2 linked regions of the Notamacropus eugenii genome follow. The protein of the gene in region 2 purifies or fractionates together with the protein of the main gene of each other region. This does not show direct contact. Links are inferred from orthologs where the notes say so. Each region holds a gene or a part of one and is shown on either strand. Other genes may lie near its edges.

Evidence for each region.
Region 1: the proteins of BACH1 (region 2) and MAFF purify together in Homo sapiens (affinity purification with mass spectrometry; 3 studies listed by BioGRID and IntAct, counting the BioPlex papers as one, with this or other methods). This does not show direct contact. The link is inferred for Notamacropus eugenii from reciprocal best matches to the Homo sapiens genes BACH1 and MAFF.

Annotation. Positions count from the first base shown.
Region 1 is NC_092874.1:295,667,125-295,674,936, reverse strand, and holds the start of MAFF (transcription factor MafF), read right to left. Parts: upstream 3,001-7,812; 5' UTR 2,656-3,000; intron 1-2,655. UniProt on the Homo sapiens protein: Since they lack a putative transactivation domain, the small Mafs behave as transcriptional repressors when they dimerize among themselves.
Region 2 is NC_092876.1:414,480,182-414,487,739, reverse strand, and holds the start of BACH1 (transcription regulator protein BACH1), read right to left. Parts: upstream 3,005-7,558; 5' UTR 2,872-3,004; intron 1-2,871. UniProt on the Homo sapiens protein: Transcriptional regulator that acts as a repressor or activator, depending on the context. Binds to NF-E2 DNA binding sites. Plays important roles in coordinating transcription activation and repression by MAFK.

The sequences.
Region 1 (7,812 bases), on a different chromosome or scaffold from region 2:
CTGGCACTGCTCTCAGAACCACACAGTAAATAGAATCTCTGCCCCCACCCCCTCTCCAACTATGTTTCAGCTATTCAAAGAGCATGACTGTCTTCCTCCAAAGATCATCAATCTTGGAGTCACCAGACCCTAGTTCAAAATCTGGTTTTGCCCCTTACTGTAGATGAGCATTTAACCCCTCAGCCCTAGCTTCTGCAGTGAAGTCAAGTAGTTGAGCTAACCTCTGAGGTTCTATAATTACAATGCCAAGGTCTAGGGGCACAGTACCCAGCTCTTCCAGTAAGCCTAAGATCTCAAAGCTTAGGGATTGCCTTTATTAGGCCTGGCTGTCCCCTCTTCAGGTCAGTCTGTGGTAAGGTGAGGAAGAGGGGGCAGGCAGACATGCTTAGGAGAAGAGTATTGTTTTACAATGCACGGGAAATGGAAGGAGCTGGAGACTTGGATCTACAGATGCCAGGGATGGGGGGTGCTAATGACCCAGCAATCCCTAGGTGGGGCTCTTCAGAACACTGGTGCAGAAACAGGTGCATCCTGGTTCCTTTAACGTTTTTTTGGAGGGGATAGCTTCTGAGGCTCCTCTCCCCTCCCCCTACCTCCTCACATACACATTAATCCCTTCACTCCCTATCTGCTTTCCCCTCCTGCTTCCCACCCCCCTCCATGGCATAGGACACAGCAAGATGTGTATACTCTGAATCTCAGTGTCCCTGGGTGGGGACTCCACCAGCCAGTGCACCTTTGAACATGGAGCTTTCAGCTCTAGGGTTCTGACTTCTTCCTCTCTCTCTGTGGGGCCCCTTGCTTGTCCCTACCAGAACCCAGCAGCAGCTAACACCTGCACACTGGGGGAAAGCCTGGGCCCCAAAAGCCCTGGGTTTCATTGCAGCTTTTGTTGCTGTGACCTGGAGTCAGCTACTTCCTCTCTGTGGAATGAGGGCGTTGGAATACCAGCTCTGCAGCTTGTGACCTTGGGCAGGCCCCCCTTTCTGGGCCTCAACTTCTCCATCCATAAAATGAGGAGGTTGGATCAGATGACCTCTGAGGTCCTGGCCAGCTCTAAATCATCTCTAAGTACAGGTGGGCTAGGTGCCAAGCCTAGGAGGTGTGAACTCTCAGGGTCTTAGACAAGTGTTTCCTGATCCATCAGGCCAAGTGGGAGGATCTGGGGGCTGACCCAAATTCTCTCCCTAAGGCTTTGAGGTGGTGTTGAAAGAGAGATGGGTCTAATGGGTCCTTGTAACCCCCCAGTCCTCCCTGGGTGCAGCTCTGGGCAGTCCTCGAAGAGCACACTGGTTTGAAGTCTGAATGGGAATTCTGCCCAAGCTACCTAATTAGCTGGGTGACCTTGGAGAAGCCCCTTGGCCTCTCTGATCTCTATCATCCATCCTGGATGGACATTTAGGGGCACAAACATCCTAAAGGAACCCTGCACGGGGAGGAGAGCAGGGAAACACCAAGGTCAGGGCCAGGGGAAAGGGAAGGAGGGAAACCAGGAGACCCTGGCCCCAGCCTGAGCCGGGGCGGGACAGGACGCTCCCCCAGGCGCCTGGGGCCGGCCCACTGACTTCCTCCTCCTCCTGGCTGAGCTAATCCGTGTTTGCGTGCGCAAGTGTGTACACACACACACACACACACACACACACACACACACACACACACACACACACACACACACCACACACACACACACACGAACAACAAACGGAATGTACACATTGGGTCACGCACGCACGCACACCCGCCGTACGGGCGCCCAGTGTGGCTCCCCTGGCTTCCCACCCGCCCCGCTCGTGGGCCCAAAGGGATGGCTTATGGGGGCTGGGGAGGGGGCGTGCTGCTGCTTCTTCCGCCACTTCCAAGTCTGTCTTCCTGGCCCCACAGTCAGGAACGTCGGACCGCACCTCCCCTTCCACAGCTAGCTAGCCTTTTAACACTGGCGAGGGGCGGGAAGGAATAGACAGACAAACTCTCCTTCCAGGACCTCAACGAGGTCTCCTCTGGCTCAGACTCGGGTGGGGTGGGGGGAGACAAACACTCCACCTTGCCTTCCATCCCCCTACGGTGGGAGGTAGGTGGGACAAGCACCTTCACTTTCAGTTCTCCCAACTTCTGAGAAGTACCTTTAGTCCGGGAGTGGGGAAGACAATCAGACACCCTTCCCCTGCTCCCGACTGGGAACTGGGGGCGATTCTGAAGCCCACCCCCACCCCCTGTACACTCCACACCCCACCCAGCAAGTGCCTCCCAACGCTTCTAGCTCAGTGAACCCCCTTCTCCTCTGAGAAGGGACAGACAACCGAAGAATTCCGATCCTCCCGGCCTCCTACCATGCCTAACCTTCCGGGACGAGAGTAGAACAGACAGACAGGTAGACAATCACACACACACACACACACACACACACACACACACACACACACACACACACACACACACACACACACACACACACACACACACACACGATCCCTGTCCAGCGCTCCCCTCCCAAGCTTCCAGCAACCCAAGATCGGCGAGGGGGCAAAAAGAGGACAGAAAGGGATAGAAGGGGGTCACTGTGGGGTGCAAGGCAACAGCCGGACAGCGGAAAGGCAGACCCAAAGCCCCCCAACCTTGAAGGCCCCCAGGGAGGCGGCCTCGTCCGCGCGTACTCACCCTGGTTCTCCTGCTCTGTCGAGGAGTTTCTCCCTCCTTCCCCTTCTCCCTTCTCCTCTCCTCTCCCTCTCTTTCTCTTCCTCCGCCGTCCTAGGTAGTGGGTCCCCCTTTAGCCTCCAGCCGCCGCCTCCCGGGAGCCGTGCTCCGGGTTAGCACTCGGGCTCGGGCAGCCAAGAGTGGAGGCAGCCTGCTGGCGGGGAGGCGCGAGCGACAGCGGCGAAGGCAGCAATCTGCTGAGTTGTAATGTGAGTTTCCTGGAATTACTCACTCACAGGATTCCTTTCATTCATAAAAACACAGTCATGCGCTGATGTCACCCTTCGCCGCCTCTGTTCCAGCCCCACTACCCCCGGGGGGAGGGACGAGGCGGAGCTGGCTCAGGAGCCCCGCCTGTTTCTTGCCGGCTCGGTGGGAGGGGGAAACAGTGGTCATCTTGGTGAGGGGCACCGCGGAACTGGGGCAAAAGGAGGGAAATACCACACTCAGCTTAAAGAGTCGGGGCGGGAGTGGGCGTGCAGCCTCTTTCATGGACTCCAAGCAGGAGTCACAGCTGAAAGGAGCCTTAAAGATCTAGAACAAGGCCACAGCTTTTATCGGTGGGAACATTCAAAGAAGACACTTGGCCAAGCCCATGGCATCTCAAATGTAGAGCTGACAGGAACCTTTGGATATAGTCCATGTCGGCCTCCGCATCTTTGCAGATGTGGAAACTGAGGCCCAGAGAGTCGAGGCTTCTTTTTTATTTCATTTTATTCTGAATTTGACAAACATCAAATACCATATGCATACAAAGAACAGGAAAAAGAAAGGATCACATGACAGCTTGCTCCTTTCTCCCAACATCGACAAATCCGACAGGTCCTTTTCAAAGCTGTCTGGTTTCTCTGTTTCCTACTGACAAGCCTTCTGTACAGTTGAAGTCCTTGCAACTTGGCTCTTTCCTTACATTTTTCTTCATTTGTTGTAAAACTACTGCCAGACTTTCCCATTATCTAAACCACCCCCATCCAAACTCTCCTTCCAAACTGAAAGAAAAGCAATATGTTTGTGTCAAATATAACTAAGCAACACGAATCTCCATATTGACCAGGTATGTCCCAAAATGTGTCTCATTCTGCACCTTGAGTTCACCACCTCTCTGTCAGAGCATGGACAGCTGGTAAGCATGAGCAAAGTGGGATTTTTTGTTGTTTTTTCTGGAGTTCAGGTTTCTAGGCTGAGGCTAAATTGTAAACATCTGAAGGATTAATCGCCTTTGAACCCTGATAATTCACAGCTGTGCTGAGTCATACACATTTCCATGCCTTCTTGTTGTGAGCTTATCTGGGGTAGAGTCTTTGTTATATATCCTAGGAGGTTGGCATTTTGCTATGGGGGTTTGCTCATGAGAAGGATCTTTTCGTTCCCTGGATGGGACTCTGAGTAGACCTTTGTTAAGAGCCCCACCTCCCCACTAGTCAGATGTTGGTGCTCTCCCATCTGCTGGTGTATGTAGGTGGTTGTATTACTTTTGTTGAAACAGCTGGAGCCCTGTGCGTTGAATCTCTGTGCTAATCCTGCTTGTATTTTCTATACTCACTTCTTTCTACTTAACTGTAATTAAAGTAAGATTGTTCACCCCTTTAAAGTTGTCTTTTCTTTAGAAAAGCAGATCAAAGAACTAGTGCTAGCCGCATCCCCGCCCCCATGTTGTTAATACAGCAGCCTGTTTTTAGTCTCTTTTTTTGATCTGACCCTGGAGGCAAGTGGGGGCCACTGAAGTTTACTGAGTAGCGGAATGATGTGGTCCAATCTATGCTTTAGGAAAATCTCTGGAAGCTGAGTGGAGTTCTGAGATCCTTGCAGCAAGAAAACCAACAAGAAGGTTACTGCAATGATTCAGAGGGGAGGTGATGAGGGTCAACATTAGAGGAGGGAAGGGAGAGACATTGCTAAAATGAAATTGACAGGACTTGGCAGTAGATTGGATGTGGGAGGTAAGAGAGGGACTGAGGAGTTCCAGATGACTCCTAGATTGGGAGAATGAGAGTCATCTGCATGGCAGTGATCATTGAAACCAGGGGATCTGATGAGATCATCAGTCCAAATGGCATAGAAGGAGACTGACCTCGGGTTCTACTCACTGCCCTTTGCCTCTGTTCGTAGAAGTCTTACCAAGTTTCTCTGAAATTATCAGTTTTGATGTTGAAGGAATTTTTCTAAGGCCATACAAGTGGAAGGCAGGCGACCTACCAAAACCACTTGGTTTTCTGTTCATCCCCTCTGTCCTGGATCAAGAGGCAGAATTGTGGACAGAGCAGAGAACTTCTAGCTCCAGAGGCAACCTCAAATGATCAGTTTTAATCGATGAGATTGTAAGGGATGAGAGGGGAGGCTGCTGGTCTTCTTGCACCTTTGTATTCTGTATCAACTGAAGCACAGAGCTCAGGACACAGTTCCTGGGTCTGTAGCTGAAGTGAGAGCTTGATGTATAGAAGGTTGGGAAATTACTTTTTGTGTGTAACTGTACAGCTGAGCACCCTCTGTAACATGTTTGAAGAATTATAGACTGTCAGAGCTGGGAAGGGACCTTGGAATATGGGGGAATAACATTTATACAGCGCCTACTATGTGCCAGGCACATAGTATCTCCTTTGATCTTCACAACAACCCTGGGAGTGAGGTACTGCTAGTATCACCATTTTACAGCAAAGGAATCTGAGGCAGACAGAGGTAAAGTGACTTGCTCAGGGTCAAACAGCTGTTAAGTGTCTGGGGCTAGATTTGAACTCAGATCTTTCTCACTCCAGGTCCAGTACTCTATACACTACAACACCTAACTGCCTCATGGATTACTGGACTTGGGAGAGCTCTTGGAAACATGAATTTTGGAGTTGGGAGGGGCCCTAGAACATAGAACATGGAGTGTCAGAGCTGAGAGAAACTCTGGAACAGAGACTGGCAGTGGTGGGAAGGACCTTAGAACAGTGAATGTGGGAGCCAGAAGGACCTTTAGAACATGTAATATCAGAGTTAGAATGACCCCTCAGAGATCATCTTGTCCAGCTGCATGCTTCTACAGATAAAACTGAAGTGCAAAGAGAGAAAGGTACTAATGCAAGACCATGGAGACAGTTGGAATTTTCTGGCATTAAACATTTAAATTGGTTTTTAAGGCCATTCCAGGGAATGTATCTTTGGGAGCTCCCCTGGAAACTTCCAGGATTTCCAGAGAATGAATGCAATAAATGAGAAAATAAAGTATTTATTAACCACTTAGCTATGTGCTTACTAAGCAACAGGGATAAAACCACCCACTCTGATTGGGAGAGATAACACTTAAGAATCCAGCTCAGAGCAGAGGACAAAAACTTTGGGGTACTCAACAGGTCAGATTACAGTTGCCTGAGGGTCCAAGTAAGTAGACACTGTCTCTATTGAGATGGATATGTTCAGGCTTAACCTCTTGAGTTCAAGAAGTCCTGAATTCTTTGGGTTGGAGCTGAATGGCAGCAAAGGGAAAAGTCTTGGCAACTCTTCCAGAACTCTTTCAGAAAATGGCCACCAAGAAGAGGACTGACCCAAGCCTAGCCATTTTATCAAGGATCAGGAGTTGTTTGGACAGTGACAAGCCAAGGTGAAATGCTACCCCCATAGTGTTACCCTATGTTTTGGCCTAGAATCTGAAAGGAATGAATCCATAAAAGATTGTAGCTGGACCCAGGTACAAACTTGCTTCAGCAGGTCATGTTCTTGGGCCACATGGAGGTCAGGTGGCAGGTAGAAGTACTATCTCCTTGCCCAACCCCACTCTCAGAACAAATTGTGAAAACAGTCCTGCATGATTCAAAACTGAAAAGGAATAGAAGGTCAGGTAGATTTCCTTCAAGTCACCAGTTCCTGTGACTCAGTCAATTAGGGGACTCTCCATCATCTCAAATTTGACCCCTTTTACAATGAGTCATACATGTGGCCAGATGCCAGCCCTGGAGCTCCCACATCAAAGTGGGAAGGGAAGCTCTGAGCATGCTCCATGTTATGGATGGCCTCTGTAGACCCATTCAGTCACCCTCCCTAGCCAGTGTCAATTAAACATTTAAAAAAATGCACAGAAGTGAACAGAAAGAGCCTTAGAGAGAAACACAAACAAGCTTTGAAACTAATGTGTTCAATTTATTTTATAATTTAAAAAAGGCAGAGAAGCAGCAGGATATAATAGATAGGGAGAAAGCATCAAAGTCAGGGGGACCTGGGTTCAAATTCTCTGGTACATCCTGGCTATGTGATGTGGGCAAATCACTGAATCTCTCAGGGCCCAAACAACTCTCTAAGACTCCAAGTCACTGAGACATGCATTGGTGGAGGGAATTTCCTTCCCTGGAATGTCCCCTATGCCCTTGAAATCACACACATACACACAAAAATCACACATACACAAAAAAGGCAAACTGGACCCAGTAGAGAATCATAGCTTCCTCTACAATTCTCTTTCCCTATCTGTCTTTGTAGACCAAAATGTCTCTGTTTGTGGGCATTTGTCAACGATAACAATAAAATTAAAATAAAATTTAAAAACCACTTCACCTCACGTTAGACTCAGCTGTAATGTGCTGGTTTCTTTTTGTGTTAAAATTGCTTCTGATCCCCCTGACCCCCTTCCCTCCCTTTCTAGTCTGTATAATAGGTTTATAAGTAGCTAGTATAAAGGGGGCAAAAGCAGGAAATTAGATTGCAAAGGGGAACCTGGAAGTCACGGAAAACCATCCCAAAGATCAAAGGAGCAAGATTTGCAAATTGTATCATATGTTAGCCAGAATTCACATCCTGGTAATATGTACTAAATCAGAGGAAGCCACCTAGGTACTTTTGTCAGGATCTCCTGGTCCTATGATGTGTAAATCCCAGACAAATCCCAAACCTCCATAGTTCCAGACCGAGGGAACATCCAACTCTGAGATGAAATGGTCATGTTAACTTAAAAGCTTTACCAATAACTTTGAGATGATTTGGATATGTTAATGAGCCAAGCCCAAGGTGGCACAGATAACAGACTCTTGCCCTCTGCCATCTCTGTTGGGTCCATGCTGGCTAGTGCTCCCAACTCTAATCCGTGGTTGATGGATGGTGGATGGCTTTGAAGTCAGTCCTCTTCCCCTCTACCTGTCTTCCTTCACCTTC
Region 2 (7,558 bases):
GTGTGTGTATGCATATACAAAATCATAAACATGATTGCACATCCCAGAGCTTCCAGGTTAAAGAGAATACCAAGATCCCACTGTACTCAAAAGGGATCTTGACAATCTCGCAACAAGATACACCCTTACAAACTGCCTGCACTGTCAAACACAGACCTTAACATCATACAAAATTCCTTGAAAGATTCAAGATGGGTAATTTTGATCAACAACTATCAGTGACCTATTATTACCACCTAAGGTATCTGCCACAATTATAGAGGATGTACAAGAAAGAAATGAAACACAAGATGAAATTTCCTCTTTCCAAGTATTCTTATTTTTATATACCATTGTGATTAAATGAAGCCCTAAAATACTACACAGTCTCCTGAGACCTCTAATCACTCAAAATAGCTGACTGTAATCATGTAGGGAAAGGAAAAGGAAAAGGACAGGAGAAAGGAAAGGAGAAAGGATAGGAGAAAGGACAGGAGAAAAGACAGGACAGGACAGGACAGGACAGGACAGGACAGGACAGGAAAGGAAAGGAAAGGAAAGGAAAGGTTTTCTATTGTCCAGACGGTGGCATGCAGCTGAATGGAAGAAAATCACCTAAATGAGATCCAAAAGCAGAATGATGTTTTTTCCCATTCAAAGCAATACTGGCTTGGTGATACTCTTGTTGAAAGCTATTAGCAACACTATCACTACCACTATTCACCAAGAGAAGAGGAAAAATAGACAGAATTTCCTAAGGAAGCTATTAAAGAGTATGTAGTAGCTATAATTCTGCTCCCAGGTATATCTGGAGCAGTGTGGTAGGCACAGCACAATTTATTTATGAAAAGTCTTGGGAGTGGAAGTGGGGGGTGAAGAGATATGTCACATCTCACTACCCTCATAAAGAGACCAATTTCTTTATTTAAAACACAAAATACTTAAAAAAAAAAAAACAACCCTTCAGATGCTAAAAAAACAAACAGGACAGTTTTTTAAGTGCTGGCAATATAAATTCAAATAGAAAAGACTCTCCTTTCTGATTACATTCTAATTGGGGAAGGCAACACATCAAAAGAAGCTAAAGAGAAGGGGAGAGGCGAGAGAAAGAAGAGGAAAGACAGAGACACAGAATGAGTGAGAAGGTCCAGAAAGCCCAGAGCAGCCTGGAGAGTGATGAAACATGTGTGTGCCTTCCAGGGCTGGAGTAAAGCTTCAGGATGAAGTGCTGTAACTTGGAAGAGGAATTCCAGAACCGCTGCCTAGACAGGAAAAGCTCAGGTTCCAACCATTTGGTCAAAAGCATTACCCTACAAATTTCAGTTATTTCTACAGGTTGGGCACTCTTTCAGTCTGTGGGCTATTAAGTAACCTAGGGCCAGAGCAGCAGTATTTAAATACCAGACTGACACTTTCTGACTTACTTACCAGGAACCACAAAGTTTTAATTGGCCAAATCCTCGGGCACTACAACCACTCACCTCTTCTCTCGCTCCGGTTTGCCTTTTATAGTGGAGCCATGTAAGCCCCAGCTGTTTCTAATTACCTCTCAGGCTCTTCCTGGGTGAATGACTCAGCAACCTGACTTTAAAGGAGCCAAAGTATTTTCTAACACAATCTACGGGTTAACCAATATTGACAATGAAACACGTTGGGTGCTTTTTTTTTTTTTAAAGTAACTTTACCGGATAATAGAGCTAGAAAAGAAACTGAGGCCCCAAAAGAATTAAATAGTTTTGTCCAAGGTCACAAAGAGAGGAAGTCGCAGAGCCATTTTTCTATAAACTCAATTCCTCTTTTTCCAAAGTCAGCACACTTTCCACTGCACCAAGAAGAAAGATGATTTGTTCACAATACTTTCCTACTGCAATCAAGCTTCCTTCTTCAACAGTCCTCCAGATTGCTCCTAAACATGCTGACCTGAGGAAATCCTGTTTTTCTATACCTATATTTCTATATCTAATCCACAGTATTCTATATTTACTATACTATATGTAGTATTACAAGGCTTTTCAGGAAATCCTGCTTTTCTATGTCTATATTTCTATATCTAATCCACAGTATTCTATATTTACTATACTATATGTACTACTATAAGACTTAACAGGAAATCCCGTTTTTCTACATCGAGCAGTCCCTACGTATTGATCATCAATCAGTCCGATGAGGAGCATTATTTGCCACCAATCTGTCCCTACATGTGCCGCTTATAGCTTTTAGTTACTCGGCGTTACATTAAAATTGCGCGATCCCACCGCGAGAGAGATCAGTGCACAACACGGGCATTCACATTTTCTTTGGAAATCGCGGGATTTCCGAGGGCTCCCACGACGACTTTTCCACGCCGCGGGCCCGGCCCGGCCCAAACTTAGATGTCTTACGAGCACGGGCCATTACCTCTCGGCACCAAGCGCTCCCCAACGCCGCCCGCCCAGCCCGACGCTCCCCAGACGAACGCCGAGGGAGCTGACAGAGTGATTTTTACTACATGAGTAAGTTGTGATGCATCCGAGTTGTGGATTCCCGGAAAAAGAGGACCTTCAGATAAACGGAAGGCGGCCGCACGTTTGCGGGGAACCCCGCGTCTCACACCCCACTTCCATCGGAGGGGCGGATCCTTCGGGGGGGCGAGGGGCTTCTAAGGACATTTTGAATGCTCACAGGTTTAAAAACACATTTCAAACCGACGGATTTACGCCGGGGCGGAAAGTCAAGCCGCCCACGGCCTGGGCACCAGGGCACCCCCCAAAAGACCGGGCTAAGGGCAGAGCCCAGCGGGGGGGCGCGGGGACCAAAGGGCGCCCAGGCCGCCCGCTCCTCCCCCGCCCCTGCTGCGCGCGCCCCTCCCCCAAGGGCGCAGACCCACCGGCCTCCCCACTCCGCTCTACTCACCCCCGACTGCTACACGGGGCCCGGGGTCGGGGGGTGGGGGCCGTCGCTTCCCGCGGACGAACAGGGACGCGGATATTCGGGAGACGGGGTCAGAATCTACGGGCGAGTGACCGAGCCCCAGAAGGAAAGCGATCAGGTGACTGTTTGTCTCTCAGTTCTTTCTCTCCTCTCACCGGCCCCCCCCAGCCCCGCCTCTCCCCTCCTCGGCCTGGCTCGCGGTCCCGCCCCCTTTCGTTCTCGCTAACGATTGGCCCGCGAGGCCTGTTGGAACACGTCAGTCCCGGCCCCTGGAAAAGCGGCTGGTAGGAAGAAAAGAAGGGGTGGAGTTCGGGGCTGGGAAGGAGCGGGGCTCTCGGAACGGGCGAGCCCTTCTCTCTATTGTGGTCCTTGCCCCTGCCTGAGGGCTTGTGTGTAGGACTATGAATTAAGAAACGAAACGAGAAGTTAAAAGGCCAGAAGAACGCATGATTTCCAGGGAAAAGAGAGAGGAGGTGGAGAAGGAATGGCCAGCTTTCCTGGCCCTTAACTCACCCTATAGCATTATTTGCTTAAAGTGGAAAAGGAACCTAAGTTGTGGAACCAATCAATCCGTATCTCACGGATTTATACTCTTAAAAACTGAAGCCTGACATTCGGGACTGAGAAGCCTGGCAAAAGGCACTAATGAAATGATTAGACCCTGCTTCCTCCCTGGCTGGTCTGAACAAGGAAGACACGCGTATCTGCCCACAGGTGACTTCAACGTGTGACTAGCGGAGGAGTAAAAATTATTTCCAAGGAGGAGAAAATAGGGAAAGACCGTCTTTAAAACCTCCCCGTTTTCTACTTAAGAAAAATCACATTGGGGAAAGTAAAACGGATAATGAATGGAACACTGGAAGAGGCTGCAAATCCTAGAAGACAATCCCCAAAGAATCAAATGTACAGGTAACCCAAAGGGTAATTAATGGCATTGATACAGTGTCTTTTAGTTTGCAGAAGAGACAAACTCAGAACGGTTAATGACTTGTGGATGGTCTTATAGCTATAAGTATCAGAGGCAGAAATGAAACTTACATCTTCTGGGCTCTAGGTTCAACATGCTTTCCAGTACAGCCCTGGTGCCTCTGAAAGATGCTTGGCTACCAACCAAAATGAACAGGTTCCAAAAACTGCCACTTTGGATGAATGAGATGATGCCAAGCGGTGACGAAGAGAAGGCAGAGCTCTTCAGATTTTTCTGAGTGATTCTCGGATTAAAGGACAAAATAAGATATCCGTGTAGATATTAAGGAAATTGTAAGGGAGCCCTAGTTGCTGGTAATGAATTGAAGTCACCTAGTCCAGGTAAAACTATATCACCAGGCGTTTCCTTCTCAGAGGTTAAGTGACTTGCCCCCATCACACAGCTAATTCATGTCCAAATCCAGATTTGAACTCAAATCTTTCTGACTCTGGGCCCCACTGTCTATCCACTGAACCACCTTGCTCAGGAGGACAGCACCTCTGGCATGAGGGTTTGCAGAGCCTTTATCAGGACTGCTTTCCACCTTTGCTGTCTACCTGATTCACCCAATTCCTACTTGTGGCTCCAAGAAGCTGCAGCATCTGCGGCAGCCACACCTAAATAAACCTCATGGGAAGACAGACCCAACCAGATTAAAGGTACCCATCATGAGTTAAGGGGATGTCCCCCCCCCCCAAGCCTGTGAAGACTTCCCTTGGCACAGTGGAAGGATGAAAACAATTTGCTCCAAAGTCCATGAAGGTGGCTGAAGCAAGCATCATGGAATGGTTAGAGCTTGGTTAGATATTGAAGATGCCAAGGCCATCACCAGTCATCTTGACTTTGTCTTGCTACTAGACTCCAAAGATTGTGGAAGAGAAAGTGAGGCTGACTGCTTTGTGCAGCTCTGCCTCTCTTAAATCCAATTTATCCACAAGTCAAGATACCATCTATGATATCAGTGGTCCTCTTCAGAAATGAAGGACAAACAGTATCCTCAGGCATATGTGATTTCTAGACCAGTTTAAGTTCATTGTTGAATGTTAGTGATGGAATCCTAATAAAGATAGGTCCCACTGCCCCTACCTAGCCATTACTCTCCCGTCTCAATATCCTAACTTCCTCATATAGGGCTCACTGCTCACTAGAATAACAAGTATGTCCATGAACTCTTATTTCCCACAGAAACAGCAGGCATATCCATGTAATGGAATCCCAGCCACTGCCTCTAGCTAGCCACTGTCCCCAGAACCATTCCTCATATTTCCCATAGAAACAGCACATATGTCCATGCACTGTACCACAGTCACATCCATCTAGGACCACAGTACTCAGCCAATCAGAAAGAAACACCATCAGGATGCCCAAGCAGGATGTAGACCCCAAAACAATAGCAGGGACTTTCCTTAAGTAGGTACCTTTGTTTTACATTTTCTTGATTTTTCATAAAATTATTAGCTTCCATCTGCTCCATTCTAATCTTTAAAGAATCATTTTCCATCTGGCCAGTTCTGTTTTTTAAGACATTCTTCTCCTTTGGCTTTTTGGATCTCTTCTGTCATTTGGGTTAGTCTATTTTTTTCAGTGTTATTTTCTTCAGCATTTTTTGGGGTCTCCTTTAGCAAGCAGTTGACTCGTTTTTCATGATTTTCTTGCATCATTCTTATTTTTCTTCCCAATTTTTGCTCTACTTTTCTTACTTGATTTTCAAAATCCTTTTGGAGCTCTTCCATGGGCTGAGACCAATTCACATTTTTCTTGTGGAGGCTTTAGGTGTAGGCGCTTTGACTTTGTTGTCTTCTGTTTCTATATTTTGTTCTTCCTTGTCACCAAAGTAAGATTCTATATAGTCTGATTCTTTTTCCAATTTTTGCTCATTTCCCCAGCCATTTACTTGACTTTTAAGATCTTTGTCAAGGTAGTTTTCTGTTCCAGTGCGGGGAGGGAAGGTACTGTCAGCCACTGGATCCTCTGCAATCTGTGGGCCTAGAACTCCAGAAATCGCTGCTGCTGCTGTCCCTGCCCCTGCTGCAGCTGGGCCTGGGGTCGGACCACTCTGTTCTCTCACACAGGTCCCACAGGTTTTTCCTACTGACCTTCTAATTTGTCCTTGGTGTTTTGGGGTTTTGAAGTCTGGAAACCACCACAGGTGCCCAAGATTCAGTCCTCTCCCTCCCAGGCCTGCTCAGGTCACATCTGTGCCAGGGTGGCCCACCCTGTATTGCGCTCTGCTCCCAGCCCAGCTTGATAGATGCTTCCCATCCACCTTCCAGGTTGTCTTGGGCTGGAGATTTGCTTCACTCCATCATTCTGTGGGTTCTGCAACTCCAGAATTTGTTTAGAGTCATTTTTTTACAGGTATTTGGCTGGACTTGGGGGAAGAGCTGTAGCAAGTCTGTGCTTTTACTCTGCCATCTTGGCTTTACCCCCTGACCAAGTAGGCACCTTTGAAGCAATAGCAAAAGCTGTCCCTTAGGCAAATTCCCTTACCATTACAGATGGTTCTACCACAACACATCATGAAACTGTAACATTAGGAATACTGAAACTAGAAGAAAAATTTCAGTGAAATCAATGTGTAATCTTTTTTAGTATACATGTAGTACTGCCAGTAATTTACCGCCAGCTTTATATCATACTTACTGATATATGGGCAACAGCCATGCTTATCCATTGGATCATGCTTTGGTGTCTCAGAAAATGAGAAGAAGGATTTAAATACTCAAAGCCAGCACATCTTACAGCTTAGAAAATATATTGCCAAATATACTGTACTTGGAGGGAGCTAAGTGGCTCAGTGGATAGAGCACTGGGCTTGGAGTCAGAAAGACACTGGAGAACCTAGAAGTGGCAATGGACAGCAAGAAGCATTTCAACTCTTCCACTTGGATTCGTTAATCAAGGGGAATGAGTGAAAATATGACTAGGGTACTGGATCTGGGAAGGTGTGTCATTAGGAGACAGCCAGGTCTCAGTCAGTGAGAGCCAAAATATGGAAAGAATGGGAAAGGAAAAGATTTGCACTGAAGCAAGTTTATTGCATATGGGATAAATAAACATTATAGAGGACATGCTGGAAAGGATGTGTATTCTGTTTTTTTTTTTTTAAGTTTAATTTTCTCATTTATTTTTTCTAATTAATTTGTTTTCAGTTTTCAGCAATCACATTCATAAGTTTTAAATTTTCTCCTCCTCCTTACTCCCTCCCTCTCCACAACAGCATGTAATCTACTCAAGTATCTTTGCCAAGAAAACCTCATGGACAGTATTGGTGTGTTATCGTCCACAGGATCACAAAGAGTTGAAAATGACTGTACAACCATCCTGTTCCTGGTTTACAATAAAAGATTATTGGCCACAAGGAATGTAACTCATGTTTTAACTCATGTTTTACCATGCCCATGGGGAGCAGAGTCTTGGGAGAGGCCACTGACATTCTTATGAGGACAGACTTACTCAATTCACTGTGGATCGCTTTCATTGGACAACAATAGGTCCCTGCCCTGCCAAAGCACCACTAATGGCTATATTTTGGACCCTCCTGGCCCAGAGTGAATGTCCATGGTAATTGTTTCTCTTTTGGCCAGCAACCCTGAGGGTCTTTCCCTCCCAGTTTGATTTTTTTTTTTTTATTAAAAGGTCCATCCCTTGATTCACTTCTTAAAGAGTCCTATTCACTGAATGGAAGTTGCCTCACTCAGA